4 linked regions of the Alligator mississippiensis genome follow. The protein of the gene in region 4 interacts with the protein of the main gene of each other region in a biochemical or structural test. Links are inferred from orthologs where the notes say so. Each region holds a gene or a part of one and is shown on either strand. Other genes may lie near its edges.

The links.
Region 1: the proteins of AKT1 (region 4) and NF2 form a complex in vitro, tested with the Homo sapiens proteins (2 studies listed by BioGRID, with this or other methods). The link is inferred for Alligator mississippiensis from reciprocal best matches to the Homo sapiens genes AKT1 and NF2.
Region 2: the proteins of AKT1 (region 4) and HSPB1 form a complex in vitro, tested with the Homo sapiens proteins (3 studies listed by BioGRID, with this or other methods). The link is inferred for Alligator mississippiensis from reciprocal best matches to the Homo sapiens genes AKT1 and HSPB1.
Region 3: of the proteins of AKT1 (region 4) and SMARCC1, one has a biochemical effect on the other in vitro, tested with the Homo sapiens proteins (2 studies listed by BioGRID, with this or other methods). The link is inferred for Alligator mississippiensis from reciprocal best matches to the Homo sapiens genes AKT1 and SMARCC1.

What each region holds. Positions count from the first base shown.
Region 1 is NC_081833.1:26,673,860-26,681,650, forward strand, and holds the start of NF2 (merlin), read left to right. Parts: upstream 1-4,782; 5' UTR 4,783-4,946; coding exon 4,947-5,060; intron 5,061-6,378; exon of another isoform or gene 6,379-6,465; intron 6,466-7,791. UniProt on the Homo sapiens protein: Probable regulator of the Hippo/SWH (Sav/Wts/Hpo) signaling pathway, a signaling pathway that plays a pivotal role in tumor suppression by restricting proliferation and promoting apoptosis.
Region 2 is NC_081837.1:16,992,345-17,000,299, reverse strand, and holds the start of HSPB1 (heat shock protein beta-1), read left to right. Parts: upstream 1-4,941; 5' UTR 4,942-4,954; coding exon 4,955-5,354; intron 5,355-7,955. UniProt on the Homo sapiens protein: Small heat shock protein which functions as a molecular chaperone probably maintaining denatured proteins in a folding-competent state. Plays a role in stress resistance and actin organization.
Region 3 is NC_081828.1:217,674,081-217,680,944, reverse strand, and holds the start of SMARCC1 (SWI/SNF complex subunit SMARCC1), read left to right. Parts: upstream 1-3,849; 5' UTR 3,850-3,864; coding exon 3,865-4,098; intron 4,099-6,864. UniProt on the Homo sapiens protein: Involved in transcriptional activation and repression of select genes by chromatin remodeling (alteration of DNA-nucleosome topology).
Region 4 is NC_081825.1:289,116,317-289,124,261, reverse strand, and holds the start of AKT1 (RAC-alpha serine/threonine-protein kinase), read left to right. Parts: upstream 1-4,944; 5' UTR 4,945-5,115; intron 5,116-7,945. UniProt on the Homo sapiens protein: AKT1 is one of 3 closely related serine/threonine-protein kinases (AKT1, AKT2 and AKT3) called the AKT kinase, and which regulate many processes including metabolism, proliferation, cell survival, growth and angiogenesis.

The sequences.
Region 1 (7,791 bases), on a different chromosome or scaffold from region 4:
GGTCCTTCCTTCACTCTCAGATTTGGGCCCTGGGGTGCGGGGCAGCCCCTTGTGATTGAGCTGGGCAGGAGACAGGCAGTTACCACCTCCCTTTTATAGATCTCTTATATCATCAAAGTCGTGGCAGGAGGGAAAAGAAGTGTCATCTGATCTCATCCAGCTCAGCCATAGGAGCACAGCCACCCTGAGGGGCCAGTGAATGTCAGCGGGATGTTGGGGCGTATGCCCTTACACGATGACTGCCCAACAGTCACCTGCCCTGGAAATCTTCAAAAGGAGACTGGACAGTCACCTTGCTGGGGTCACTTGACCCTAGCTGTCTTTTCTTGCTTAGTGTGGGGGAACTGGACCTGATAATTTATAAGGTCCCTTCCTGCCCCTAGCAATCTATTAGTCTATTAGGATAAATGTGTTAAGGATTATGAAGTGCTTTTATATTATAGTAATGGAGGCCAGGTCAATGCCTAAATTAGATAGACATGCTATTCACATGGGTGAAGTTCCACAGTAGCTTAAATGTTTGTAGGATTGGGTGCTTGAGGGGGCCAGAATATTGCATGTCTTTATCCAGGTGAACAGTCCTCCTGAAGTTAACAGGACTATGCATGTGCTTCCAGTTAAGCATGTTCCCAAGTGTTTGCACTTTGATCATACCTCTTAGGGCCCTTTGATTGTAAATTCTCTGGAGCAGGGTCAGCGGGTGACATCCTGGTTGCAAAGCTCTCATCTGTTTTAATGGTGCCAGGATTCCACCCTAGACTTCTATTTATGGCACAGTGTTGAGCAGACGATCCCTGCTTGACAGTTAACCAGCTAATAAGAATTATATCCAGAAAGTGAATGTGACTGGCTTATTTAATCATCCAAGTTGAAAGAAGCATGCAAAATTGAAAGCATAAATTAACCTAAAAAACCCCTCCCAATTGAATAATCTAAGGTCTGTTTGTAAAATCAAGGCTCTTTTTGGTGGTGAGTGGCTAGGGAAAGGGGAGGCTTTCATATTAACAGTACTCTTTCAGTAAAAACTCACCTTTTCCATTATTTCTTTCCTAATATCACTCACTCACTGGAGAATTAGAAAGGCTTCTTGTAAAGCCCTTTGAAAATAGAATCACATATACTCTCTGTTGGGTGACCTGGTATTCTTGTGATCGCTGCTATTGGTTTTCTTTAGTGCCCCCATCCTACAAAGGAGAGCTGTGTATGTGAACCCCTATGACTGCGGCAATCCCCATCATTATTGCCGGTGGTCTGTACTGGAGCTGGGCCTCCTTGGATAGTTTTCTTGGTGGAATAAGGCCTTAAGAGTGTAAGGGCACATTTTAAAAGTATTTAGGTGGTTAATTTCCATGATTTCAATAGGAGTTGGGGCCTAAATACCTTTTAAGAAGCTGTTCTTAAGGACTGTGGTAGAGGGAGGGTCATTTACTAGGAGTCTGTACAATGCCTAGCATGCAGGAGGTCAGATTTGCTTGGGTTCTTTAGCTGCTACCACAACATAAATACAAAACATTAAAATCTTGCTAGCAATAAATGAATGACCTTCCAAAATGGCTAGTACCTCTTTAGTTGTTTTTCTTTTTGATGAACAAAGAAAGCCAGAAAAATATTTTCTATTTATTTTTTAGAGAGCTAAAGGACAATTTTGCTCTTCTGCTGGTTTTTACTTTATAAATTCAGATCCTTTCTAGCCTTTACTTTCCCTAGAGCAGGGCTGTCCAAATGGCATCCTGCAGACCACATCCAGCCCAAAAAGGGTTACTCAGTGGCCCTTGCGTTTCCACCTATCTGCTACTGCTTCCATTACTCTGGCTGCGGTGGTTGTGGCTGGGGGGTTTCTGGAGCAGGGCAGCATGAAGGGAGACACAGTCTATTCAGTTTGCTGCCTGTGCAACAGCATCAGAAGTTGGGGCTTGGGCAGGGGGGGCATGGCAGGGGTATCACCAGTGCAGTGGTGGCTGTGGCAGTGGGAAGCCCTTGGTACTTATGTGGCCATGGGGTTACATGCGGTGGGGGTCCCAGAGAGCCCATGCAGCCTGGGGCCCATGACCTGAACAGCCCCCAGTTACTCTGAAGTTGAACAGCTCTGCCCTAGAGGACTCTATGGATATGTGGAAAACTGTTAGAATCATGGAATCACAAGCAGCTGGGAAGAAAAACCTCCATTTCTCTGAGTTAAGAAACTATTTTAATTTATGGTATTTAGAACGCAAATGTTTGATAAAAGCAGTTGAGAGAAAAGCTCTTGTTAAATAACAACTCCCACCCTAAGAACTGGGTAAAGAGGGGAGATCTTTTTGGGAGCTAAGTTAGGGAAGAAAAGACTCTATATACTCTTGTTATTTCTAAGGCATAAAAGTAAGAGGAAAATAAAGCTGAAAAGCTTTTATCTATCATAAAGAAGCAAGTAACGGCACAAACCCATTTCTTTTTTCTTTCTCCTAGTAGGTCACCTTTAAATTAATTCTGTTTGGCACTGAGGGGTTATGCTTTACAATAATACTTAATATACTGTGTTCTGTGTGCTTCCTAGTACACAACCTCATGTAGGTTTTAAAGCAAAAGTACTTGGCAGGAAACCAGGATGAAGCATTGCTGCTTGCACTCTTCATTAAAGAGTTCCTCCCTGAGCCCACAAGTCACCTGTAACCATGGCCCCCATTAAGTGACACAGGAACAGCTCAATCTGTTACCATAGGCATGGTTTCAAAATTACAAATGGAAGCTCAAGCCTCATTCTGCACGTTCTGCACTCAGAGGACCAGCAAGGAAAGGTGAGTCATAAAAGCTTTTCATGGCTTTGACTTTCCTTGAGTTTCTAAATTAGTCTGTCTGACAATTCAGAGGATGTGGAACAAGTTAGAGGCCTAAAGAAGCAGATGCATTTGGAGCTTTATGGTTGCTGGGTTTTAATAGAGTTTTCTGTCACAGGCAATAGACTCGGTAGCCTTAGGCCAGCCAGTGATGTGATGGAATTTCCTTGCACTCAGAAGAATGCACCCAGTGATCTTAGTTTCATATCCTGCCTATTCCTACACTACCCCCATGTACTGAGATTTAATCAAACCGCCTGTATCATGGGGAGATTCATTCAACTGTTAGCTCTTGGGGGCAAAGAGTATCTTTTTGTTCAGAATCTGCAGAGTGCTTAGCACTGTGGGGTCCTGGATCAGAACAAACTCCAAGGGTTACAATTCAAGTAATAAATGAGTTGGAACTTCCAGCTGCTAGGGCAGATCTGGTATTTGTAGGGCTTGTACCTAGTGGAATAGAGGACACTTACAGTTACATTAGCTTATTTAGTTGACTTATAACAACTATATACATGCATAAGAGACTGACTTAGTCTACCTGGCTCATTAGCTGTGTCTCCATTTGCCTCCTGTTCCTCCATACAACAGGCTCTGATAACTTTGATTCCCACTTCAAAGTTACTATTTGTCATTAGCAAATAGTACTGGGCTGAGACTGATTATTGATGTTTATAGATGGGTCCTGGTGGGGAAAAAAAAGGTTGAGAACCACTGCCCTAAGTGACCAAGCCAAGGTAGGCCTGACACTCAACTCTAAGGCATTTCATAGGATCACAGCAAATTAAGGCTGTAAAGGACCTTGTAAGATCATCTAGTCCAGCCCCCTGCTCAAGGCAGGATCATCCCTGTGCGTCTAACCTGCTTTTGAAAGTTTCCAAGGATCAAGTCCACAATGTCTCTAGGTAGTCTGTTCCAATGCCCGACCGCTCTTCAACCTAAATTTCCCCTGCTGCAGTTTGAGACCACCGCTAGTCCTATCCCCTATGACCACAGGCCTATCTCCATCTTCTCTACAATCACCCTGCAAGTAACTGAAGATGGTTATCAAAGCACCCCTTGGTATCCTCTTCTCCAAGCTAAATAACTCTAGCTCTTCCAGCCTTTACTTTCAGGTCCCTGATCATTTCTGCTGCCCTGTGCTGAACTCCTTCCAACCTGTCCACATCCTGCATGGAGTGTGGGGCCCAAACCTGGACAGGGCACTCCAGGTGAGGCCTCGCCAGGGCTGAATACAGCGGAAGAATCACTTCCCTTGATTTGCAAGGGATGCTCCTGTTAATATAGCCCAGGATGCTGCTGCCTTTGTTTTGTTTGGGGGTTTTTTGGCAACAGGGGCAAGCTGTTGGCTCCTATTCAGTGTAGGGTCCACTGCAACGGCCAGGTCTTTCTCTGCAGCTGGGACAGTCATCCCCAGCCTGGATCTGCTCTGCTGCCTGCCTGCGCCAGGACAATGGGACCTCGCCCGTTGCCTTTCAGCGCTGTGGACGACAGCCCACTCCAGGGTCGCCCCCTTGCTAGGCTAGGCCAGGCCGAGCGGGGCCCCCGGGCAGACCAGGTCCTTTCCCTCTTCCCGGGGCGGTGCACAAACAAGCCCTCCGGCGGGTCCAGTGCTCCTGCACAGCGCCAGCCTCCACCCGGGGCCCCACGGCGCTCCCACAGGCCGCGAGGCGGGAGTCCCCGCCAGGGGGAGCCGGAGCGCGGGCCGCCCTCGCCCAATCAGGGACCGGTGTTGCTCGGCGGCCTCTCAACCGCCCTTGCTGAGGAGGCGGGGCCGGAGTGCAGGAGTGGCAGCCGGGCTCGGCTACTCGGAGCGCGCCCAGCGCCGGGGGGTTAGGGGGGTGGGAGCGTACTGAATTTGCGATTAGCTGAGCGCATCTCCAGGAGGCGGGCGAAAGGGGCGCCCCGCCCTCCCGAGCCGCTGGGCCAATGGCGGGGAGTAGTGGAGTTAAGTTGCACCAGCAGCGGCGACGGGAGGTTGGCGGGGCAGGGAGCGGCGGTCCCAGCCCGCCCTGGCCCGGTGTTGCCCCTCCCCCCCCTTTCCACCATGTCGCCCTCGCGGCCCGGCCCCCTGAGGCCCCGCGCCCGGGGCTGATCCGCCCCGCCCTCCCCGAGCCGGGTGCGGCGGAGCCCGCCATGGCCGGGGCCATCGCGTCCCGCATGAGCTTCAGCTCGCTGAAGAGGAAACAGCCCAAGACCTTCACGGTGCGCATCGTCACCATGGACGCCGAGATGGAGTTCAGCTGCGAGGTAGTGGGCCCGTCCTGTCCCGCCCGGCCAGGGGTGCGCGGGGTGGGCCGCCTCGGAGGGGAGTGCCCCTGGCCCCGGCCCGGCCCTTCCCGCTCTGCCCTTGCTGCGGGCACGCAGGCGAGCGGGGCAGGCGGAGCTGTCCCGGCGCCTCTGGCTGGGGGCGGCCTCCTGCCCACTTGAGGGCTCTCCCTGCAGCCTGCGCCCACTTGACCTGTGCCCCGGGCAGGGCGCCTGCACTGAAGCGCCCTCAGAGCCTGCGCGGTCGCTCCCCGGTTGAGAAGCACTGCTCCAGCGCACGCTTGGCCGAGGTGGTTTGGGTAATGATGATCCCGCCTCAAGCAGGGGGTTGGGCTAGGTGAGTTCACCAGGTCCCTCCCAGCCCTGCGGGCCTATGAGTTCGGAGCTGCTGGGTCCAGAGCTGTTCCTAGTGGCCATGGGCATCCCCGGACCGGTGCGCTGCATCGGTTTTGAGCAGCGAGCGTAATTGTTCCATCCTTGTCTACAAGCGGTGCGTTCGTTTGAATGCGCTCAAATGTGCTCCCAATCCACTGTCTCCAGACCAAGTGCGTGAGAGGTCAGGAAGTAAATACTTAAATGGTGGTGGGTGTTACCTAACCCTGGAAGATGTTAGGCAGGCCCTTGCAGAGCCCCTTGCAGTATCTTGCCCCTAGAGCATGTGTTTGGAGGTTTGCAGGCTGGCATGTTGTATACAGCATGTGCTGGCCACAGACCCTCATGGTGCATGTGGAGCCCATCGGGCATGGCCTGCACACAGTGCTAGGGCTGGAGCCAGCATGTGTGCTACACACAGTGGGTGGGACCAGTCTGGGGCATGTGCTGTGTGCACCACGTGTGCTGGGCTGGCCATGCACACTGGATCCAGGGCTGGTCTGGATTGAGCCACAGACCAGCTGTAGCATGCAGGTCTGGGCTGGCATAAGTGCCACATACATCATGTGCCCTGGACTGGTCCTGTGCTCCACATGCTTTGTGGGGTTGGTCTGGGGCACGTACTGCACAAGATTGCCCTTGAGTGCTGGATCTCAGGCTGGTCTGGTTTGGGCCTGTAGACCAGCCCCACACGCCAGATTTGGTACAGGGCTCTTCCCTGTTATGATGGTGGGGATTCAAGTCAGGTCATTAGTTGCTATTCCTGAATGCCATGATGTAACTTGGGTGATCTTCTTTTGTATGACATTTCAGGATTACAATGTTCATGGATTAATATCTAAATTTGATAACCATTAGACTGCTTTAGGGGTAGCTGCATGGATTGATTTTTTTTTTTATTTTTTTTTTAGATTGCCATTAAATATTTAATTTGACAGTCGTTTACAATGTGTTACACCATCTGAAAAATCGCACCACAATTGCAACCCAGATTCTTTGATTCTCTATTTATGGGGTAGGTGTCCACATTTTCCATTAAGTGTCTGGATGTGATTCAGGGAGGACCAAATCTTTCTCGATAGGTCAAATCCTGGCTGGAGAATTGCAGGGTCACTGACTACGTATTTTTGCGGCAGGTTGGTATTCTCCCAGGTGTCCCTTCACTGTTCTTTGGTGCTCGTTATCACCATAGAGCTTCTTGGTGTCTTTCCAGAAGCTTTTTCTCGGTGGTGGTATAGTTGTCTCTGTGAGGGAGGTTCCTAGAAGCAATTCTTCAGTGACTCCCTTAGCTAGAGTAAAGGATTGTCTCTTCTGCAATATTGCTGCACATTCATAGATTTTCAGGGTTGGGACCTCAGCCTCAGGCAGAGAAATTATGTGTCAAAAATAATTGCTGAAAATATTGTGAAAGGATTGAACATCAGCTCTGGGTCACCAGTAATGCAGGTACTCTACTCTCTCCTAGCCCCTAAAGGTGATCTTCTTGCAAACCTACTGTGCATAGTAAGTAAATGGAAAGCTGTGAACAAATCTGAGTAATATTAATGTTTACAATGCTGAGCAGCAGACTCTTGGAATGACTGTGCTTGGGGGTATGAAAGGACCAACTTTTAGGCTAAGTACAGATAGTCAAGAGCCTGAGGCCGAATCCATTCAATCTTTGCAGGTTAGCCAAAGTTGTGTAGATTAAATCAATAAGCAACTGAATGGGTATTCATTTTGATTTTGAAAATGCAGCCGCATGCCTGCAGTAGCCTAGGCCAGAAGCCAAGGGGTGCTAGAGCACACCTCCCTGGTCAGCAGGAACATATAGCTTGGGCCAAGGCAGGCCTGCCCTCCCTATGGGGGGCAGAGGGTTTGTGGAGGAGGTGCAAAGCATCCTGGGGTGCTGGGGAACTGAGAGTTAACTTGAATCTGGAGGGGATCTGGACAGATGTTCAATAAACTGATTTAATCTAAATCAGTTAACTGATATTACATCCATCCAGGTTTATCTTAAGCTGGTTTCAGCCATTTTGAAACTGGTTTATGTGCACTGAAGTTGTGTTTATGCTACAGATTTGAGAGAGTTTCTGATTGCTTATACTGGTTTCTGTGTAATTTCTGTCCCTGGTCTTAATGAGGGTCTAGCATCCGTGTGCATTTGGCCATTCTGCCCCTGTATCAGTTGAAACATCCCAACACATTAGCTGGCCCCTGGAAAGCTTTATTTGATGTGTAATGCAAATGATTAACTGCCAGATTGTAGATGGCAAATCCTGGAGTTGTAGGATCAAACTAAGGAGCCAGCATGGTAAAAATAGCAATTTGTCCAACATTTGCTGGGGTTAGTTTGTATTCC
Region 2 (7,955 bases), on a different chromosome or scaffold from region 4:
TTGAGGCAAAAGGCAATATTAGCTTCCCCCCCCGCAGCCCCGCCTCCAGCCCTGGCAGTGCCCAGTCAGCAACAAGGGACCTAGCCGTGCCCTCGCTGTCACCTTGCAGGGCTGCCGGACATCCCAGACAGGCTCTGGCCTTGCCCTCATGCCCCCACTACCGCAGCCCAGAGCTAGCTGTGAGCAGACAGCTGCCCGCATGCCGCGGTTGCTAATGAGTCTGTAACTACGGCTGCAGGTGGCTGGGCTCAGACTGGCCCATGCAGGGGCAGCCACTGTGTGGGCAGGAGGATGCTAGCTCCACGCACTGATGCTGTGTGGGCAGCCTCTGCTCTTGCAGGGTGAGGATGGTGGGGGAGCTGCGAAGCCAGAGAACTGTTCCCCTCCATCGCTCTGCTGGCCCGCCTCAGCCACCCCCCGAAGGGGTCAGCTCACGGGACCCACAGCCCCCTTGGTGGGCTTCTCCAGGCTCTGCCCCCAGCCAGTGCAGCAGTCTGCATCTGGGGTGCCCAGCCAGAATGGCCCCTTGCCTTGGCCTAAAAATTGTGGGGAATCAGGCCCCTACACACACTGCAGGAGCCTGTCTGGCAGCAGCAGGGTTGGGGAGGGCCCTGCCTGTCCACACCCATAGGCTTCATGCCCCAGTCTGCACCTGGGACTGGACATGCCCCCCAGACTGACTGTAAGCTGGCACCAAAGGGGCTGCTCCAAAGGAGGCCTCCGCAGATGCCAGGGAGGACATGGCAGCTGACTACAGAGCAGACCATGGGGGCACTCAGCCTCTCCCCTGTAGCCTGGGGACCATTAATGTCCCCACCCTGCCCATAGACTGGAAGGTAGCAAGTCTAATGCAGCTGTGGCTCAACACACCCTGCAGAGCCCGGCTGAAGGGCTCCTCAGAGACCTAAGACAAAGCGCAAGGTGGCTGCCCCAGCCCATCATGAAAGAGTCTGTCGGGGTGCCCATAAAGAGGCCACAGGTGCCCACTGCAAGCACAGCTGGGCTGGCAGGCCAGCTCAAACCTGTGCTGCTGGCTCAGGTGACTAGGAAGCTTTCAGGGCTGAATCTGTGGGAAGCAGAGGGAAGGAGGGGCTGGGGCAGTATGGGCAGGGAGGGCACAGAGCTGCAGTTGGAAGGAGGAAGGAGTGGCTGGAAACTGCACAGGGGCCTGGGGTTATAAATCATCCTGCCTTCACTGCGCTGAGCACTAGCTCCCAGGATGTCAAGCAGCTGCAGGGCAGCAGATGGGCTCTGACTTTGAACGAGTGTCTCCCATGTGAGAAAGGGCATCAGCTCCAGGACACAAAGATGGGTGAAGGCAAGTAACTGTGCACTGGACAGTCACTGCCAGATGGGGCACTGGATAGCAGGGGCACCTCAGCCTGTGGAGCCTAAACCAACAAACTGGGGAAGAAGGGGACCAGCTGGCACATCATGCCGTTGATGGAAAAGGCCGTGTGCAGCTCACATGGGCACAGCTCCACACTGGCAGAAAAGCACTGGCAAGGTGGGGAATAGGGCTGGCAGCCCATCGTGGGGTATAACAAGCCCTGGGCCCTGACAGCCCCCCTGAAGGCTGACTCCACCCTTCCCTGTGCACTTTAGCTCCAGGAAAGGGTCCTGTAACCCCATCTTGCTCCAGTACCTACATGGTGCTTCACTGTTGTTCCTGGCTTTCAGGAGGTCGAACGTCATCCAGCCACCCACGGCCCAAGCTGCCCTGGCCTTATCTACCCACTTCCCCCCCCTCCTCTGCTGCCACTTATCCACCAGCCGGTCCAACCCCCCAGCCCAGCCACGTGCGCATGACTCACCCACCCTTCCCTCAGCCACCCACTGAACCCTCGTGCTCACCCTCCTCCCCTTCGCTCTGCACTGCCTGACCTCAGCCCGCTTGCTAGGTTATGAGCACCTGCAGTTTCTGACGTCACCATCTGCAAACCCAGCGACCCCTACCCTGGCACACGCTGTCAGCAAGGCAGCTGCCAAAGAGAGGTTTTTTCCAGCCTGAACGAAAACAGCCACCACCGCTCAAATGCAACCCGACCAATTGCAACACGATAGGGGGGAGCGCAGCAAGGACACTTGCGGGCAGGCCTGCTGCTTTGTACCTCAACAAAGCTCTTCTCTCACCATGGGTGCCTGGTGCCACCTTAGTCAGGGGGGCACATGCCCCCCCTTTGACCAGTCCAGCCAACCGGGGCTGGAGCCACTTCTGGGAGCAGCTGCAGCAATCAGCCGGTGCCTGCAGGGGGGCACCAGTGCTCCCACCTGCTCCCTGCCCATTGCCTAAGCAACGAGCGTGGCTGGGCAGGGGGGTGCACCGGTGCTCTCAGGGGTGCATGTCCACCCCCTATGCATTGCCACTGTCTCTCACCATGACACACAAACACACACGTGTCACTTGTTCCCCTTGATCCCTCTGCAGATTGTATATAAAATGTGAAAACACAGACTCTGCTCAAGCCAGATAAAGGTCAAGCAGCCCCTGGAGAGTCCTGCTCATTTAAGCATTGGCCAACAAGCTGTGCCTTTGCATTGCATGTATGCTGCAGCAGTTTTGAGGCACCAGCTGAGACCAGTGGCCTGTTGCCCTTGAGGAGCTGGCACAGCAAGATAAAGTAACTTGGCCAAAGTCAGCTGTGGCAGAGCCTGGAGACTCCCAAGCCTGTGCCTTCACCATCAGGCATAGTCTAGCCTGCCATGCTAGAGGTGCTGGGAGAAGCTCATCCCGGAGAAAGAGAGCTACCGACCTTGCCTAGTGTTCCTCAAGGGTAAACATGAGCCTCGTCCAAGCTGCCTCTGGGGTCTGGGCAGACAGCTGTAAGAGTGTCCTCAAGGCCAAAGCCTTTCATGTCTCTGTGGTCCAGACATGGTAAGTGTATCTGAGCAGCGGCCCTGTGAGCTCTCCTAATGAACATAGATAGGGAAAGTTGGAAGGGGGTTCAGAGAAGAATTAGGAAAAGGGCCAAGAGGCCGGAGGGACTGCGGCCTGCTTGCCAAGGGCTAACCGAGAACAGCTAAAGGAGAACAGACCATCTGCTGGGAAGGGTCATTCTGGAAGATGTAGAGACCCAGGAGAGAGGAGCTGTTTATAACACAGAGTAACGGCGTTGGCATGTAACTAATAGGGGACTGAGACTGAAAGGCAGGGAAAGCTTCCCTCGGCTGGGATGGCTTGGACTGCAGCGGGTACAGAAGATGGTATGTGCACATGTGAACGATGTGCACATGAGGGGTGGTTGCAGGGGCTTCCCTGATCACTCATTCATAGGGCCACCACGTACCTCAACTCATCCGGCCAGGAAAACCCTCCAGGCACCACCTCCGAGAGGGGTCGGCCGCCCGGCAGTGGGTAGGAAACGGTGGGAACCCGCTGCTTAGCCCGGTGTGAAATGCAGGTCATTTGAACACGTCTGTGACAGACAGCCCTTCCCATTCAGTTCCTGAGCGAACTGAGAGGATGTGATAGGACAGCCAGCCAGGCTGGCAAGCGAAGCTTATCTCCGTCCACCTTGCCAAGATTTTCGAGCCTGCAGGCTGGGAGACGAGCAGCGCCGCAGCCCGGTGTGACTCAGGACCTAGAAGATTCCAGGCAGGGACACGCGGCCAAATCCTGCGCTGGCCTCAGCTGGCACGGCTCCATCCGCTCCGATGGGACGGCATCAGCTTACACCACCGGAGAGTTTGGCCAAGCATGCTGTAAGACATGCTGAGAGAACAGTTAAGAAGTGGGGATTTGGGACAACATGAGCTGGGCCACGTGACACCGGAGGATTCTGGGAGAGAAAATCGCTCCTCTCATTAGACTGATGGGCAAGGGTGGCTTATGGGCTCACGGCACTGGCCCAGCTATTACTGAAGCCAGCTGGAGCCTTACACTTCTTATCAGTTGGAGCAAAGTTAGGACAACAGTGAATGCTTTTAAAAATACCTTTCTCTATTTTAAAAGGCTTTATTTTGTGGGAATCTTTGAAGGTGATCTGAAATGAAAAAAAGAGGTCTGTGCCCTTCTTTGTGTCTGCAGGATGCACAGAGAAAGCTCAGACTCATTTGATCTTTTTCCATTTGTCTTCTCGAGCCTGTTTCTCTTGGAACGCGCAAGAAATGCCTGGAAACATGGCTGGCTTCTGGCATTAGAAATATCGTCAAAGTAACATGCCCGCGGCTCAGTGCAGGGGCACTTGGTGAAATGGAGTGGTCGATATTCGACAAAGGGTCAGACTAGGCAACTAGATAGTTGCTTCTAGTTTTAAAACTCAGAATCTGTGAATTTGAATTAAGAGGGTTAGGAAGGGTTTTTACTGCTCTGAGAGTCTAAAATTAGGGGGCTTTGCTTTTGTTAAGCCCCTTATTTAACTCAGACCCCTGAGAAACACAGGGGAGAAAAGATTTCTTTGTTAAAAATGTAACATTCTTCCCTGAAGGAAGGGCTGAGAAAGCTCATGGCACACATCCAATTCCTCCTGCTGCCAAATCAGACTCGGTGTCCCTGAGATTTGAGAGGAACAAAGAGCTGAAGGCGGAGAGACATCCATCCTGGCTTGCTCTGTCAACAGTGAAGCAGCAAATTCTCTGCCAAGACCAACGGGGGTGCCAGCGTCCCTTCCAGAAGGAATCGCCCCACCCTGCTCCTGACCCATCTTGCATTGTGCGGTGTGATCAATGCTGCTCTCAGGCTGGGGAGCTGTCCGTCTCTCCCCACCCTCTCCTTTGGACAGAGGGCAGCTGTAAGATGACAAACAGACTGGGAGTAAGTTGGCAGAGTCCAGGCCTGACTGATGTTCATCAGCAGTTACACGGTCCTGGTGTAATTTCCATTAATAGTGAGCTGAAATTCTTGGCTAAAAATAACTGGCTGCCTCTTCATAAGGGGCTGGCGGGAGGCAGCTGCTCCGTACAGACAGAGCTCGCTTTGCCGGGCTGCTGAGGTGGGACCTGCAGGAAGCCCAACATGTCGGAGCGCCGAGTGCCCTTCACCTTCCTTCGCGGCCCCAGCTGGGACCCCTTCCGGGACTGGTACCAGGGCAGCCGCCTCTTTGACCAGTCCTTCGGGATGCCTCACATCCCCGAGGACTGGTACAAGTGGCCCAGTGGCACCAGCTGGCCAGGCTACTTCCGCTTCATGCCCAGCCAAGCTGCTGCACCCATGGTCGCCGCTGCTGCCAGCCCCATCATCACCTCGCCCACTGCCACCAGCATTGACTACAGTCAGGCCCTGAGCCGCCAGCTCAGCCGTGGCATCTCGGAGATCCGGCAGACCTCAGAGAGCTGGAAGGTCACCCTAGATGTCAACCATTTTGCCCCAGAGGAGCTGGTGGTGAAGACCAAGGATGGCATTGTAGAGATCACTGGTGAGTGCTGCCTTTAGCTTCTCCTGTCTTGGGCTGGAGCACAATTGGCCTCCCATGGGAGCCTTTCTATGAACCCATTCCTCACCTTATGCCTGCTGCATGTGTAACTCAGTGGCCAGCATGAGCTACCTGTCCCCTCCCAGGCCAGATCTGTGAGGCTGTTGCAGCTCCCACCTAGCAGTGCCAGCCCTTTGGCTTGCACAGTCATAATGATCTTGTCAGCTCTAGAGACCCCCAGATCCTATCCCCAGATCTGATCACCGGCCCCAAACCTCTAGATTTCTCCCAGTTGCAGGGCAGGGGGTGCATGTTGGCAGTGCTGGCTGTCTTGTGTCATTGCAATGCTAGACCTAGAGGGAAGCTGGGGTGGCCTCACTCCAGTGCCTGCCCCTCTGCAAAGCTGGCAGCTGAGGCCTCCATTTCCCCTGGCTCCTTTCTCAGCCAGACCCCTGCCTCCTCTTCCCTTCTCCTCCTGACCTCGCTGCCTTGCTGAACTAGATAACAGCCCAGGGTGAGTTGCTCCCTCTGCTTTCAGCATGGGGGAGTTGTTGGCTCAGGTCCCTCCTTGGTGTAACTCCTGAGGGGGTTTAGTCCAAAGATGGTAGAGAAGGAAGAGCCCCACCTGCCTCAGCTCTACAAAGTCCCTGGACCTGGGAATGGAGGAAGGAGTTGATGTGGGGATCAGATCAATTATTCAATCCATTTCATTATTTTTAAAGTAGCCCTAGCAGCTTAAACCCATGGTGCAGGGCACGATACACTCGCACAGGTGAACAGCAGCTCCTGCCCCCAGAGAGCCCCCAAAGGGCAGGGGAGGGAGACTGAGGCCCAGAGCTGGACAGGGACTTGCCTAAGGTGACACAGTAGGTCAGTGGCAGAGCTAGGACTAAGACAGAAGCCATTCTCCCTGCCACAGCCACCTGCCTGCACTGTCTCCCAAGGCCCTGGAAGTCTTACCCACAACCCAGGGCTTATCCCAGGTGATGAGCAATCCAGCACCAACGGGCCTGCTGGGCAGAGCTGCCCCAGATGCAGCAGTTGTCACTTCGGGGGAATCATGTGAACACAAATCACATTCCTTCCACCCTTTCTCCCTCACCCGATCCATATCAGCGCAAGAGCTGACCAGCACATTCACAGTCCTGGATCTCATCAGAGAAATGTGGGTGAAGGAGGGAATGGTAATGAAATACCTCCCCCACCCGCAGTCCTCAACCAGTCCTACTCAGTCTCCCTTCCTCAAAGTCTAATGGAAAACTCAGTGTACAATCATCAGACTCGATGATCTGTTGAGGGTCCTTCCGACCCCAGCATCTATGAATCGATGAATCACCTGAACCCCCAACACATTCAACCAGGTTTCAACCCAACCCAAAGAAACCAACAAAGCTTTGACCTATAGCTTGGCCTGATTGCCTATGAATCGTCCCCTCCCCTACTTTGTTCAGGGACTCTTTCAAACCACAGTCTTTTTGAGCCAGATCCCCAACCAGGGTAGACAGGCAGAGCAACATCGATTTCAATAGTGCTATATCCATTTACAACCAGTGAAAAGCTGACTCTGCATTCAGGGTTTACTGGGAAGCCCAGAGGCAGGTGAGTGGCTGCACATATATATATATATATATATATTTTTGTAAAGCAGTTGCCCTGTTTTCTCATTAAATGCTCCCCTGGTGACCAGGAATGTATCTGTGGATAACAAGGAGCTGGCTGGCAGTGAGCCCATTAATTCCCTTCTGAGGGCTCCTTTTCCTTTAAAGCAATATAAGAGCACTGATCTGTCAGAGTAACCGTGAGAGCCGTCCCCTGAGTACATGCTGCACCTGAGCTGCAGCCATCAGGAGCTCTGATTAGACAGAAGATCATCAAACGTGACAGCCAGCAGTGTCATCTTTGAATTCCTGATTCAGAAGAGTGACTGCTATGAATTTTAAGCCCCTGAATTGACACAATCCGGGCCCTTCTAGACTCCATCCCACAATATGCCAGACCTAGGCAGCCACTGGAAAATCCTGCAATGGGCTCCTTTGTGATGAAACCAGTGAATGGTTGGTAGCGGGTTGCTGGAAGTTGATAGATAATGGATGACTGAAAAGAATAGCTCCGAGTCAAGTCAAACCAGGCGCCACACACAGGGGCGAATTAATGCAAGAGCCCATGGGGCCTGGGCACCAGGGGCAGCACAGCCCAGGCAGGCATCCTGGCAGCAGGCATCCGGGGCAGGCAGCGCGATGCTCCTGCCCTCAGCCAGGCCATACAGGTGCAGGTGGTGGCAGCTTACCGGGGCTGTCTGTTGCCAGGAGGCCCCACGGGCAGCCCCACTCCCATTTCTGCTCTCTGCCGTCTGCGGACAGCCACCAGCACCAGCACCAGTACCGCTGAAACAGGATGGGACAGGACATCGGGGCTGGCAGAGAGGTGGGCGGTCAGCCAAGGGCAGCACAGAGCCCATGCCCCCGCTCCCCCCAAGTCAGCTTCAGCCCAGGCCTGTCCCACAACGCTGGAGGACCACAGCCCCGGCAGTGTAACACCTGCCAGGTGGAGGGGCTGGCCCGGGTTGGAACTGGGGCCGCCTTCACCACAGTGGCACTTGCCCCC
Region 3 (6,864 bases), on a different chromosome or scaffold from region 4:
GAGCAACTGCTGAGAGCAATGTGTTTTTGCCCAAGGGACTTGGTGCATGGCTGGTACACGCAGGAGGTTGCTCTTGACCTTTGGGACTGCAGTGAGGCATAGAGAAGGTGCTACCTTAGGGGTATAGGTCTCAGGATGTTTAGGGCATTATAAGTGAATTCCAACACTTCCCTTGAATTGCGTGCAAAAAGCTCCTGGGAGCTAGTGCAGACCCTGGAGCACTGGAGTTATGTGCTTCTGATGACCCTTCTCAAGGGCAGCCCTGCGTAGAGCACATTGTGGTGGTCTAGCCTTGAGCTGCAAAGGCCTGGATGGTGGTGGCCAGATCAGACTCTGAAAGAAAGGGCTGCAGCTGTTCCTAGTGACCCCCACCACCTGAAGATCCAGGTGCAGCACAAGATCCGGGAGCACCTCAAGGCTGCAAACTTGAGTGACAAGGGGAGGCTGAACCCCATCCATGGCAGGTACCCCAGTACCCCTAGGTCACATGGCCTGCTCACCAGCATCCCGTGTCTTGTCTGGATTCAGTTTCACAATCCTTTTGCTGTTAGCAAATACCCGTGTCATTTATTAGCGCTGTGTGGCCTGACCCCCCAGATGCAGCTGAGAACTACATGTACGTGTGTGGCTCCATGTACTAGCACTATCTAGCTTGTAGAGCCATGTCACCTGGATGCAGGACTCCCCATGCCACGGGTCTGGAAATTTGGCAGCGGGGGACTGCTCCCCCATCACCAAATCTCTGGATCTGTGGGAAGACTCTTGGGCTCGATGACATGGCCTTGCAGGCAAGATCTGGCCAATGGGCTGGAAGCTGAACACCCCTGGAAGGGGCTGATCACTCTAAAATCTCAGGTCCTGGGTGTGTCTGCTTAGGCATCCAAGAGAGGTTGAAAGTTTTGATCTTCAGGTCTGCACCTCAGCTCCTCAACAAGACAGAGGGGATGATGCTGTTCCCTCCCCTTGCAGAAGTGTTGGGAGAATTCAAACCATGGACCTTTGCCTGTACTTGCCCTCCAATGAAAGCCCAAGAGCAGATCAGCTTCTTTCTCTGGAGTGCTCACTATGGTGTGTAACTAAGGCATGGGGCTCACGCCCCAAGCAACAAGGAGAGAACAAAATATGGCAGAGCTGCACATGCAGCAAGCACCGTCCGGGCTGTGCACCGTGAAAAGAACAGCGTGTCATCATACAGCCTTGCAGGGACACAGCGTTAAAGCTCCATTGTTTAATTCTGTCATCTCCTGACCTTAGCTGTGACGGCAAGCTTTTGATGTATTTTTTGTATTTCATGTGCAAAAACTGAGGAGAAGACAAACTGTAAACCCACAGGCAAGAGCCTCTGGGTGGAATCCAAATTCATGTAGCACTCGCCTTGGAGAGCTCCGAGACAGAGGAGGGAGTAACCTTGATCTTAAGAACTGGCTCAGACCACAACACCTGCTGATGGGCCTTTCCTCCAGGAACTGGTCCAATCCTACTATGAAACGGCTGGCAGCTTAAACATGGAAGGATGGGAGAGAGATTCCCAGCAGGGATCCGGTCCAGAGACAAAGATGCAACCAGGTGTCTTCATTCTGCAGGGTGGCCGGCCAAGGGCAGGATGAAGGCTGGGAGCTGGGGTGACCGAGCAAAGAGCAGGAAGTTTGGAGGTGGCTGGAAACGGCCCTTAGGGGTATTTTGCTCAGAGAGGGGGGTCCTGGGGCAGCTGGGAGGGACTGCACCAGTGCTCCTCAACTTTCTTAGACTGGAAATCCTCTGGGTAGACTCAGGGAACTGCTTGGAAAGTGCCAGCTCTGACTTTTAGGGATGTATTTGGTAGTCGTGTTGATCTGGGACAAAGAAATGCAAAAATCTAGAGCTCTTGGTTCAGAGATGATGCCTTTTATTTGGCTACTGAAGAGTAATAGAGCAATTCTTCTGTTGCAAAGAACTCAGCAAGACCACAACCATGGGTTTCTGTTTGCAATCTCTGGGATTCTCTTGTGAACCACATTTGCACACCTCAGCAGTATCTTATGCTGTGTATACCCCTGAAAGGATCCTGTTGCACCCCCATAGCACCCTGGTGGTGAATTGCTAGGCTGAACGTTGCCTGCAGTATCCTCATCCTCGTGACACCGAGCTCATGACTCAGGTGCCCTTGGGGCCAAATGCAGGGGATGCTTGAAGAGACTGTGGCTTTTGGATCCCCCTGCCCATCACAGCAGATGCACACGCGAGACCACGCTGCCCGCCGACCCCGTAGCCAGCACAGCCCAGGCACCTCCGTTCGCATCCAGCCCTGGCTGACTCGTGCTTGGAGGGGCGGCAGCTGGAGCAGGCCAGGGGTGGATCCAGGGGTGGGTGCACTGGTGCACTTGCACCCCGCTCGGAGTCCTGCTCCTCCCAAAGTTGAAAACCAGCTGCCTGGCAGCGTGACAGCAGTATGGCCAGTCAGGCAGTGCCGAAGGAGTCAGTTGACTGTGACTCGTTGTGATCTACCTGATCCCTTCTAAACTCCTCTTTCCACAGGTGTTAATGACCCTCCCTTCCTTGTAATGGTCTTCACCTGCCGCCAGGCAAGCTACTCTCTGCTCTGCCTCCTGGTGGGACGCTCCCATTTCACAGCCCTGCAGACTGACTGACTGGCTACAACTCAGTGCAATGAAGCGAGAGCTGGTTTTGCTTCAATCCCATACTGGTTCACCCAGCCCCTCCCCGCCTATCAGGAAAGCTTCTAGTTTCTTTTTAACTGCAAAAAATAGGTGCTTTGCATATGTGCCGATGCCTTCTCCCCAGCCTAGACCCCCACGGAGCAGGCCCTGCCCCAATAAAATGGGCAAGAGCCGCCCCTAACCCGCATCACAGCAAACACACGTGTTCCCCAACCCTGGCTCCCACGCATGCGCAACTATGAGTTCACCCACGTGCTCCCCTACCGCGGCTTCCACGCACGCGCACCGACATGCAACCCTAACCCGGCTTCTGCGCATGCGCAGCTATGGCTAACCGCGCTTATTCAGCCTACCCAGGAATTCACGCATGCGCACCCATATGCTCCCCTACGCCGCTTTCCACGCATACGCAGCTATGACTGAGCCTCGCGCCCACATGGTCCCACTACCCGGCTTCCACGCATGCGCAGTTGTGACAAGGCTTCGCGCCGACACTCTCAACTTACTAAGGCTGCTACGCATGTCCTAGCTACCGGGCTTCAACGCATGCGCAGCTATGGCTAAGCTTTGCGCCCACATACTCAAGCCACCCAGGCGCCCACACTTCCCCTCCCTCATCGACGCACGCACAGCTATAACTAGCCTTCGGGCCCATTCAACCACCCCGCTTCCACGCACGCTCGCCCACATGATCCCCTACCCGGCATCCACGCATGCGCAGCTATAGCTAAGCTTCGCGCCTACTCAGCTATCCACGCATGCGCACCTACTCTCCCCTCACCCCAGTTTCCACGCATGCGTAGCTATAGCTAAGCTTCGCGCCCACATAGTCAACACTACCCAGGACTCCACGCATGCCCACTTACACGCTCCCCCTACCCGTTCCCACGCATGCGCAACTATGCTTCGCGCCCATATGCTCAGCACCCCCCACTTCCGCGACTAGACTTCGCGCCTACACTCCCCATGCGCAGAGCCAATAATAATAATAATAATAATAAAAAAATAGTAAAATAAACCCGTCAAGGGAAAAAAAAAAAAAAAGCGGGTCGGCTCTGCCGCCAGGCATGCGCAGAAGCGTCGGGCGCCGTGCGCCTGCGCGGCGGTGACGCAGGCAGGCACCGGCGCGGCGGCTGCGGCGGCGGCAGCGGGCGCGGGTGGCCGAGCATGCCCAGAGGGGCGGGGCGTGGCGTGCGCGGCTCCACGCATGCGCGGCGTGAGGCGAGTGGGCGGCGCAGGCCCGCGCGGGCGGCGCTCGGCCGGGGCAGCAATGGCGGCGGTGGCGGCGGGCGCCGGGGCGGCGGCAGCGGCGCCGGGCTGGGCGGCCCTGGCCGTGGCGCGGCGCAAGGACGGCGGCCCCACGGGCAAGTTCTGGGAGAGCCCCGACACCGTGTCGCAGCTGGACTCGGCGCGCGTCTGGCTCGGCAAGCACTACAAGAAGGTGCGGGCTGAGGGGCGCGCGGGGTCGGCCTGAGGACAGCTGCAAGCCCTCCCGTGATGTGGGGGGTCGCTGCGTGCTCGTCGCGGGATTAGGGTGACAATAGCGAGGAAGACGGGGGTGGGAGCGAGGCCGAGGAGCCGGTGGTGAAACGGCCCAGAGATGCGAGCACACGAGGGACAGGAAAACGCAGCCTCCTTCCTGGGTGAGGTCCCGCGGTGCCCTGTCCCTTGGACCCCTCGAGTCGTGCAGCGGCGATGGGGCCGGGCTTGCCCCCGGCCCGCGCGTGCCGCGGGGACGTGTCCGAGGGCGAGTGGATGCCGTGTGACTTGCTCTGCTCAGTGTTTCCCCTGACTTTTGTCTCTTAGTTGTGCCAAGCAATCGGCGACGTGCCCTCGGGGGGCCCCCTCGCCAGGCAGGGCTCATAGCTGGACGTGGTGGACTTTGGCCCACGTTCCAGACTGGGATATCGAAGGCCGGTGTCGCGCCACGGCGGAGCGGATGCGGGCAGGGAGAGTGACCGGGGGTTGTTTCCGCTGTTGCTCTCCCGCTCGCGGCCTCCAGCACTTACAGGCGTAGGATGTTCGATTCGGAGGCCGTGCCCCTCGCTCCGCCGCTCAATAGCGACGGGTGTCCCTTTCCTCCGAGAACGTGTCCAGTCCCTTTCTGTATCTGGCTAAGCGGTCAGTTTCCGCCACAGCTGGTGGCAGGGAGTTTCACAGCCTCTGGTTGCTGTTCTTCCCACATCTTTTCTTTTATGTGCTCCTTCCTTGTGTCCCTCACCAAGTCCTGGGAGTTTTTGGTTGATCTGGGTCCCGCCATGTGCTAGACAGGGAGGAGGCTGTGGCCAGGGGAGCCTGGGTGAGCGTGGGGCTGTCTTCCTTTTACTCCTCCGCTCACGTCTCTGGGCAGTTTCGCTGGTCAAAGTCCGCAGGCTCATTCAGGGGCAGTGGTGTGCTCTGCTTGGTGTCCCTTTCTGCCTCTCTTGTGATTAACCTGCAACTTCGCTGCCTTTCCTGTTTCCTTACGATTTGTCCGAAGAAACCCTCTGATGTCTTTAGTGGTCTCCGTTGTTATAATATAGTTTCCTTGGTGGGCTGTGGGCTGCAATCCCCCCTGGCACATCAGAGAGGCCTGTCTCCAACAATGGGAGAAATGGATGCCAGAGGGAAAGCGTTGAACCAGATATCTCTAGAGTGACGTATCCCCTATTCACTACCCTCCCTGGATCCACTGTTATCGGGTTGGAGATGCTGGGGGAAATATCGTCAACCCTTCGGTTCAGCAACTATTAATAGATCTGTCTTCCATGAGTTTGCCTAGTCCCTTTTTTGAACCTGGCTGTGTTGTCCGCTTCTACCACCTGCTGTGGCAATGAATTCCATGCGTTAACTACATGTCCCATCAGGTTTTCCATCATCCCTTGCCTCAAGTTGCACGTGGAGTTTCGAAATATTTCTTGACACTTGGTGAGTTAGTCTCTAGGTACATCTCTATCTTGTCTTCTGCCTGATGTCTCACTAATTACCACCTGGAGGCTCAGGTACGCTTGAGAGGAGCATCATCTGGAGTAGGAGGAGAGGTGTGTTTTCCCTCCTAGCCACCCCAGCCCCTCAAGCTAATGCCTTTAAAGGGATGAGTTTTTTTTTTCTTTCCCAATTAAGAGCATTTGTGCCTGCCCCCTTGCTGTCAAGCTTTTCCCAAGCTTCACTGACTAATGCAGCTCTTGCTAATTCACTGCCACCCACAGGATGCTGGATTGCAGCTGTGGAAACCAGCAGCGCTCCTCGGTTCTCATTCTCCTCGCAGGGGAGGCCCTCCATCCATTGTTCTGCAGGCTGAAGGCAGCAGTGCTTGGTTATACTCTGTTCCCGCTGGGAAGATTGATAATGAACATGCTTCATGTTTTTCTTTCCTCCTATGTCTTAATAGGATTTATTTGGAGAAGATCTTGGTTTGGGCAAGTGAATTTTGAAAGCCCTATATAGTGGAAAGGATAATAATGTAGGATTTGGGAGAAGTCCTAAAAATCTGCATCTCTTTTCGCCAGAAAAGGAATGAATGTATGCATTGACTTCAAAATTCTTGTTTCCTCATTTTAGGTGGAAAAGTTTCCTTCCTTAAATAAACTTGACAAAAAAAGTTACTAAAGGTAGTTATTTACAACAAGTTAGTCTAACACTTCAACCTTAGTCTTACTGTTAGTGGCAGAATGTTTCACTATCTTCAGGGGACACAACAAAGATACCGTAGGCTTCTCAATGGAATAGCTCACGTCTGCTTGCCAAGTGTGGCCTGTGGAGATACCAAATTACGAACAAAATGTTAGGAGCAAAAACAACCCTGTTTTATTCATGATCTGCGTGTAAACATCTTTTTGATGTGTCTTAGATTTCTGCCGTGCATTTGAGACTAGTAAAGAATCCTCCATTTTTAATTGCAAGGGAGCATGACTCTGTTTCACGTGTATGGGGGGCTGTCTGTGTGTGTCGGAGGTCTAGTCCTATTGCTGTCTGCCCATTCTAGTTGAGGTTCTAAATCTTTATGCGATCTGTACTGAGATGCTGTATCCAACATGCCTTTTTTTTGGAAAAGATGTGTGATAAAATACCATGTTACTTAGAAACTGGCATTCAAATGAGATTAAATATGGAGTAATTAGATTCTCCTTTATTTTGTGGTCATATCCTCAGGGCTCTATTTGAGTAAATTGTTGCAGTTTTGTTTACATAACTAATTTTTTTCTGTTAAAGTGCCTCTAGTCACTTA
Region 4 (7,945 bases):
TGAGGACATCTCAGATATGGCATTACTAACAGAGGAAAAAAATCAGCTATTTAAAATAGACTGTAATACATTAAAATTAAAGATTGCTTTTTCTTTATATTTGTACAGTCCCAAACGTTGCCCTGGTGTTGATTGGGAATGTTGGGTGCTGTTATATTACTACTAATGCTACAAATGATCGGGATAGGGGAGAGAAGTGGTATGTTTGCTGTTTTATCTAACCAATTCAGTTACTGTTTGTTCACAGAATTCCCCACTGCACGTTTGTTTCCAAATGTCATAGACACCAACTTCTCAGTTGAGGAGGAGCAGAGGGTTTTCCCATTGGAATTTGTCAATACCACTCATGAATCTGCCAGAGAAGCTACCACCGATCACTTACGAATCCTGCCTTTCTCCTCCCCTTTCTCCAGCAAAAGCAAGCTGACTGCCTTCTCGCTGCTGCCAGGCTGTCGTCTTGGGGGACCAGGAAATAGAGACTAAAAGCAAACCTCAGTCTCCTATTTGGCTATGCTGAGTGCTTCTATGAGCCATTGGGAAATGCTTCCAACAAAATATGTTTGTAAACATGAAGTAGTTCAGATCTACCTTTAATTTAAAACATTAGTTTAAAGAGCACTGTTTGCATCAAATTCACTCTAGAGATTTAATTGTTTGCACTATACATTTTCAACAACTAGATTAAACTTTCCCCTTTGTCAGTTATTGTTTTGCTACTCCAGAAATATCCATTTCCTTTTAAACACTGGACTTCTTCATATGTAGAAGGATGCCTGCCCCTTTTTCAGCTTTTGTAGGTTAAAGTTATGTGCTTTTAATTTTGTTTTCATATCAATCTGGATTTCTATGTTAGTCTAAATCTGATTCATCTTTATTTAAAGGGTGGAACTATTTAAGCTGAAATTCTGCCTCTGCTAAAGTTAATAGTAAAAGTCAAGGGAATTTCACCTCTCATCTCTTCCCTTGTGTTGCTTGAGTTTCGTGTAAAATATCTTTTAAAGAGAGAGGAACAGAGTCGCCACAGGCACATAAAAGATACACTGCTCTAGACAGCAGTGGAATAGCCCCTGTTATTTTAGGGGTCAATGTAGCTCTTCTTCACTTTTTTGCTGACAGACTTTTCTTCTCTTAAATATTGTCTCCAATAGTTTTTGAGAAAGTTTTAAAGAAACCATTTAAAAATTATCATCAAATTATATCATATCTCTATATATTTTCAACAATGAATGAGGCTAGACAGGTCAATCTCACAATGCTGTATTGATTTATAAGCCAGAAATCCATCCCTTCTTTGCTATTAACCCACATATTAAGTAGTTGTATTGTAATATAATGCTAGGGAATAGTTCGCACACCTTGTTTCTTACTAGTTCCTAAATCAGAATAAACAGATGCGAAATGTGAGGAAGTGTTTAGGGAAATCTAGGGACTTCCCTGAAAATTAGGGTTTATAGACTGTAATGCCATTGTCAATAATTGAATTATAAAACCCATGATGTTTGCATTTATAACAATACCCTCGTGATTTAATTGTTCTAAATGAAAAATGCCATGTTTTTCTTCATGCCTCAATACAAATCTCTTCTGTTATTGCAAAGCAGTCACTTCCTATTCTACCCAGTTATTTTTAATCTGCAGTCATAGAGCTGAGCCAGAGCTGCAACCCCTGATCTGAACGCTCCCAAGTTCTTTGGGGGAAGTTTAGGTCCAGAACTGTGTAGCTTGGGTCCACATCCACTATCCTTTGAAATCAGCAACTGGTAAATCTAAATTGCCTGTTGTTTTTTAAAAAAATTGTGTTTCTTTGTTAACAACCAAAATGAGATTTCCAGAGGAAACTTTACAGATTCTTTTTCGCCAGGTGATCTGGGATCAGACCAGTTAGAACAAGATTTAGCACAAAAAAAGGCAGGAAACAGGCTTTGATTCTGCAACCGCATCTGTTAGCAGATATAGTTTTGCATTATTAAGAACTCAAAAGGAGTCACCAAGGCTTTTGCATTGGCTGAGGTACGTGTGAGTGCAGGCCCTAAAATAAAGATCAAACTATTAGGTTAATATTCTTCTGGATGTATCTGTTAACTTCTGTTAATATACTGCAGACTCTATACTTTGATATTTAGTTTCTTTCTAGTCCAGTCAGGGGAAGGTAAGTCAAACAGTTATCTTTGATACTTAAAACATTTTAATCTACAGCTAAATATTCATGTGTGTGATGCTTAGTGACAAACTTGAATGTATTTGCATGCCTGAGAAAAAAGAAATACTAATAAAAATAATGGTAATAGCAATAATAATAATTTTCATTATCACTAGAATTTGCCACTTGCTTGTCTCTTCCAATGTATTTGTATTTGCCTAGAGATGGCAACACTGTTAATATCTATTCCAGTGCCTACTGAAAGTGGAAATGTTTCCATTGACATCTGTGGTATTGGATCTGGCATTAACTGAGATGACATGGCATGTGTCACAGTTTAGCTTATAAAATAAATTGCTTATCTCCCTATTGAAGTAGATATTAAAATGTATGCTAACGTAGTGTCATCCTTGTATAGAAGGACTGCTGACGACAATGGTGACAACATGACCATCCAGCTGAAATCAGTCATATACAATCTCATAGATGGATTGCTGTTTCACCTGGAGGAAATAATTATAGAGATACCTTGACTGCAGCTGGCCATTTTTATCGAAAAGGGGAAATAAACACTCCCTTTTCCTTTTAAAAGAGTGAATGAATGCCCCACTCCCAACTCTTTTCTGTTAGGGATTCTTTTGATGCCTCAAGCTACATAAAATCCAATGATCTTTTATAAATTTAGATACACTGTGATGGGTATAGTGTAACTACATAAACTCACCCATAAGATTAAAATGTGAGGACCAACTCAGCTCTGAAAAAGTGAACTGAATTATTTGCTGACTTCTGTATCATCAATATATTCGCTAACTAGGTTTCAGTTACAGAAACTTTGTTACTAGTAACTGTATGGTTCTGAATTAGATGTGACTCCCATAATCCAGAGTTTCCAGCACAGACAGTTAAAACATAAACATCTTAGCAAATGGGGTAAATTTGACATGGGAAACCTGGAAGAGCAATAAATGTATTGGTGGCATTTTAATTTTTCCAGAACAGACCTGCACATAAAAACTCACAAAAAATGGTGTACTGTAGACTCCAAACACTACAGGTCAGCAATTGTAGACTCTCATGCTTCAGGTCACTGTTATATTTAGGAGCAGTCTTATCTGGTTCCTTGTCCAGATTTCAGTATTCCCTTGCTCTGACCATTTCATTGCTACAAGCTCTCTATACAGTTGTGACAAGTATCTTCCTGGGCCTTGTCTTACCCACTCTTAAAAGGGATATTAAAATACTCTTACTGGTCCTGCCATGCCCAAGGTAGTAATCAATATTTATAAGATGTGGTGAGAATTGTACATGAAAGGTGCTGTACGCATGCAAAGCATGACTGTGTCGCAAACGTTTGCTAAAGGATGGCAATAGCAAGCCTTATAACACTGACTCTCAATCAGAGCATTATAGTACCTTGGGGCGCTGTGAGATTCTTTTAAGGGTGATGTGGTGTAATATTAGCACTGTTAAGCGTGCAAACGCCTACACTTGATTCACAAGTTAAGCCTAGAGGCCAAGTCCAGACATGCAGGGGCATGCACTTGCAGTGGCATAAATTGCCATAATGTACACCCCTGCATGTGCGCTTTGTTGTGGGATAAGTTGTCCTGCAATGAGCAGACTACCCTTGCCCAGCTCCCCCTGGCTCTTCAGTACCAGTAGGGCCAGCACTAGTCTTACCTGGTGGCCTGGAGCAGCAGGGGTACAGGTTGGGCAGTACCGAGGCCTAGGCGGTAGTCAGAGTATTGCTCTAGGTGGCCTGGCCTCTGTGCGTGCTTGTCGTATGTGTGTTGCACTGCTTTTTGTTCCATTTGGGGTTTTTCTGCTACCGGGAAATCCCAGCAGTAAATGTTGACCCTGCACTGCAGCACAGGGCACTTTTTAACGTTTGCCTCATCCAGTTTGTGGCACCGCAGCCCGCATGTCCCTGCATGTCTGGACCCGGTCAGAGATTTCAAATAGGAATCTAGAGCGTTAAAACCGCGCTGACCTGCGGAGGCTTTTCCGAGGTCTTCGCAAGAGAAAAAATGCTCTGTTATTATTCCCGTAGTCATAAAATGAGCGCAAGGTCATTTTCCGAGTGGGGCCTTGAATCGAACAAAGGGCTGAGAACCACTGCTGATAACTTTACGGTGCAGCCCGGCGCGCTCAAGCCCCAGCCTGAGGGCCAAATCCACGGGTCCAAATATTGGGCAGTAGGGAAGCAGCGGCCGGTCATTGCTGCTCTCTTAATGACAAATTTCCAAACCAGTGGGGAGCCCCCGGGCTACTTGGACCGTGCAGGGCCGGCTGGGGTGGCGCAAGGCCGATGCGGCGCACGGAGGTGGCGTGGGCCCGACCTCGGCGTGTGTCCCACACCGCTCCTCGAGCCCCACGACCGGCGCCGACCTCACGGCCTGGTCTAGTCGCGCGCAAACACCTGCCCACGCGGCGGGGCTGGCTTCCTCGCGCCCCACCGAGCAGGGGGGCCACCGTGGTCAAACGAAAGCCGGACACACGCAATACATGTAAGGGGGCAGAGGCCTAGTGTGAAACCCTGGGGATGAAACACTGCTCCCCCCACCCCTCCAGGCTCCAGGAGCAGGCTTTGCAGCCTCCCTGCGGCAGGGCCCGGGGTGGCTCCGGGCTGCTTCGCCTCCTCCAGACCCGCAGGCTGCCCCCGCGCAGGGTGGGCGAGCGGGCGGGCGGACAGGCGGGCGGCGGTAGGACCCGGCGGCAGCGCTGGGAGCAGACGGGCTGCGCGAGGGGGCGCCGAGCCCGGCCCGGCCCGGGAGGGAAGGCGGGCGGGCGGGCGGGCGGGCGAAGGGAGGCGGGGAAGGAGCCGCCGGGCAGCGGCAGCAGCAGCAGCGCCCGCCCGGGCCCCATGGGCTGAGCCCCAGCGCCAGCCGCCGCCGCCGCCCGGGGATGGTTTGCGGCCGGAGCAGGAGGCTGCAGCCGCCCAGCTAGGCCCGCGCCGAGGAGCCGCTGCCCGGGTGAGTGCCGGGGCCTGTGCGGGGCCGCCCGCCCGCCTGGGCCCTGCCCTGCCCTGTCCTGCCCTCCCGCGGGAGCCCGGCTCGCCCTCCCCTGCGGCCCGGGCCGGGCTCTGAGGGGCGGGAGGCGCCTCCCGGCCTCCCCCAGCTCCCAGGGCAGGCGGCCTCGCCCCCTCCAGAGACCCCCTGCCTCGCCCCCACGTGGAGCCGGTGCCACTTGGTGGCCTGTTGCGGCTGCCCCCGGCCCCCCAGGGCGCCAGGCGTCCTTTCCGAATTTGCTCTGGTTTCCCCAGGGGCTCGGGGAGGGGGCGAGCTGTCGGCCCCCGCGGGCGGGCGGGCGGGCGGGGGGTTTCGAGATTTCTGTGCCACTAACTTGTGCTTTTCTTCGAGTAGGTTGGGCGCGCGGCTGTTGTGCCCAAATGCCCGCGCGCGTGTGGGCAGCAGCAGTCGCGACGCGCCAGGTTGGAGCGTGTTTGGGAAGCTCGCTGTCCCTCCCCCCCTCCCCCCCTCCCGGGCCTCTGGCTTTTACTGCGAATTTAAATAATTTAGGGCTTGCTTGAGCCTCACGAGAGACGGAGCAAAACTTTGGTAGGGGTATCACGGGGCAGCGCGCACCTGCCAGCTGGCGGGGTTCGAGTAACGGCGCCCTGTGGCCCCCCCATTTTTTCTCCCTTGAGTGTAAAGAGGCGTATTTCTTGTCAGAGAGGTATAAGCAAAGAGCGTCCTGTCTATCCTGATGAATTTCAGAGAGAATCGAGCAATTCTCTCCCTTTCCCGCAGTTTCCGAATGCTTCCTCCAGGGTTGGTCCCCGCTGTGTTGCAAGGTAGAGAGCTGAACTTGTAACCCTGGTCCCACACCTGAACACAATTAACATCCTATCTGTTTTTCACTATGCATTGGAGAGCACTAGGAGTTGCTAATTGCAATGTGGAAGCCTAGGTTAAGTTTGCAGTGTGGAAGAAAAAAAAAAAAAAGAGACAGTTTATATTGCTGTCAACTTCCCTTTGTAATATCAGGACAAGCTTCCCAAACCTTGTGATCAGCCACATGTATAGTAATGACAGTCTGGGTTTTATGTGGTGGTGTTCAAAGCGGAGCATCTTCTGCACTAGCAAGAAGCATCACTAACCACACAAAACTGGTGGGCCACTGTTACATTTTTAAAACCTGAAGTAAGATTTTGAAACAGACTGGTGGTCCATTTTAGGCTTTCTTGAAAGTGAGCTCCTGCAGCTTGAGGGCTTTGGGTCAAATCTGACCTGCCCCCCCCCCCCCAACCTGTTAAGAGAACAGGGGCTTTGAGTGCATTGGTATCACTGGTTCTGTACAGGAGTGGTGGCTGATTTTGTGTCAAGCATGTAGGAGATGTGTTTCATGTCATAGTTTCACAGATGCTCCAACACACAAAGCCGGGCAGGGGCAGAAGGGATAAAGCTCACGTTGTCTGCGTCTACCCTGCCACACACTGCCTCACATGAGGGTGGGGTGATACCCGTTAGATCTGCACCGTCCATTAGGCTATAGTTTCAACTCAAGAGTTGTGGAGAAATAATGGTGTTTCCCCTCCTGCTTTGCTTTTCTATGAGCACAACCTGGCTGTGCAGAATATGTATAGAGACTAAGAGAAAAGTAAGATCTCAGCCTAAGGAAGAAAGGAAGATCAGGTGCATCTTTTAGTTTTGTACCATCTTGGAAGGCAAAAGGGAGGGGTGCATTAGAAAGATACAAAGATGTTAAAAAAAGAGCACCCAGCCCTAAAAGGCTGTCCCAAATACAGCTTCACTCCGCCTTCTGTTGGCAGATTCATTTGCATGGCTTCTTTAAGACGGGTTTTATTGTGCTAGTACATAAGGAAGGGATGCATGTTTAAAATTAATAGTTTATTGAATTTTCACCATTTTTATGCATGTTCTTACTAGCTGTCCCCCATATTAATAGAATAACATATGCAGGGGTACAAGATTAATATGCCATCCATTATTTATTGTACTTACAGCGTTTCTGACTGGTGAGTGTAGGTGATGATATAGTATAGAATAAGGTGGTATAGAAACAAATTTATAAAATTAATAAAAAAGAAAGGGCTAATTGTTTATCTCCAGTTCTTGACAACACTGTCATATGCATTCTCTCACAGGTTAGATAAGTCAGACTGTAGTCATCTCAGATGCCCTGCGTCACTGGGAACCATTCCTAGATTTGCATAGATGAGGGTAACAGTCATCCATTTTTGTTCAGCTTGTGCAAAAGGGAACCTTCTCTCATTTTGGCCATAACTAATAATAAACATTAATTTACTTCTAGGGTGGGCTGCCGCTGCAGCCTGGGACTGCGCTGGGCTCTTCCCAGCGGGGTGTTGAGTGGGACTGCACTCGAGGCAGGCAGCAGCTCTGGGAGGGGAGGTTGGGGACTATGGTGAATTTTGGGGTGACTGCAGCCCCCCCCACAATTCCCCTTTCCAGCATCTCTTCTACCTGCCCAGAGCACAGCCCGGTGCAGCCCCGGCCCCAGCCCGCAGTAGCAGCCTGCCCCACGCAGATCCGGGGGGCACACCCCTCCATGCCCTCCTGGGGTGTGTGCAGTGGCAGGAGCTGCCCCTCCCCCTCCCTGTGCCCCCTGGACAAGCCTGGCTCTGTCCCACACCCTGCTCCACCCTTGCTGGGCAGCGCCTGCCCCAGCCCCACTCCTTCCCTCACTGCAGAAGCCTTGATCTGCCCCCCCTTTCCTGACACCCTTTCCCTTCCCTCTTTCCTTCCACCACGACAGACTTACCAGTCAGACACCGCTCTTCAAGCTGCATATCGGAAATCGGATCGGTATCAGCTAATACGC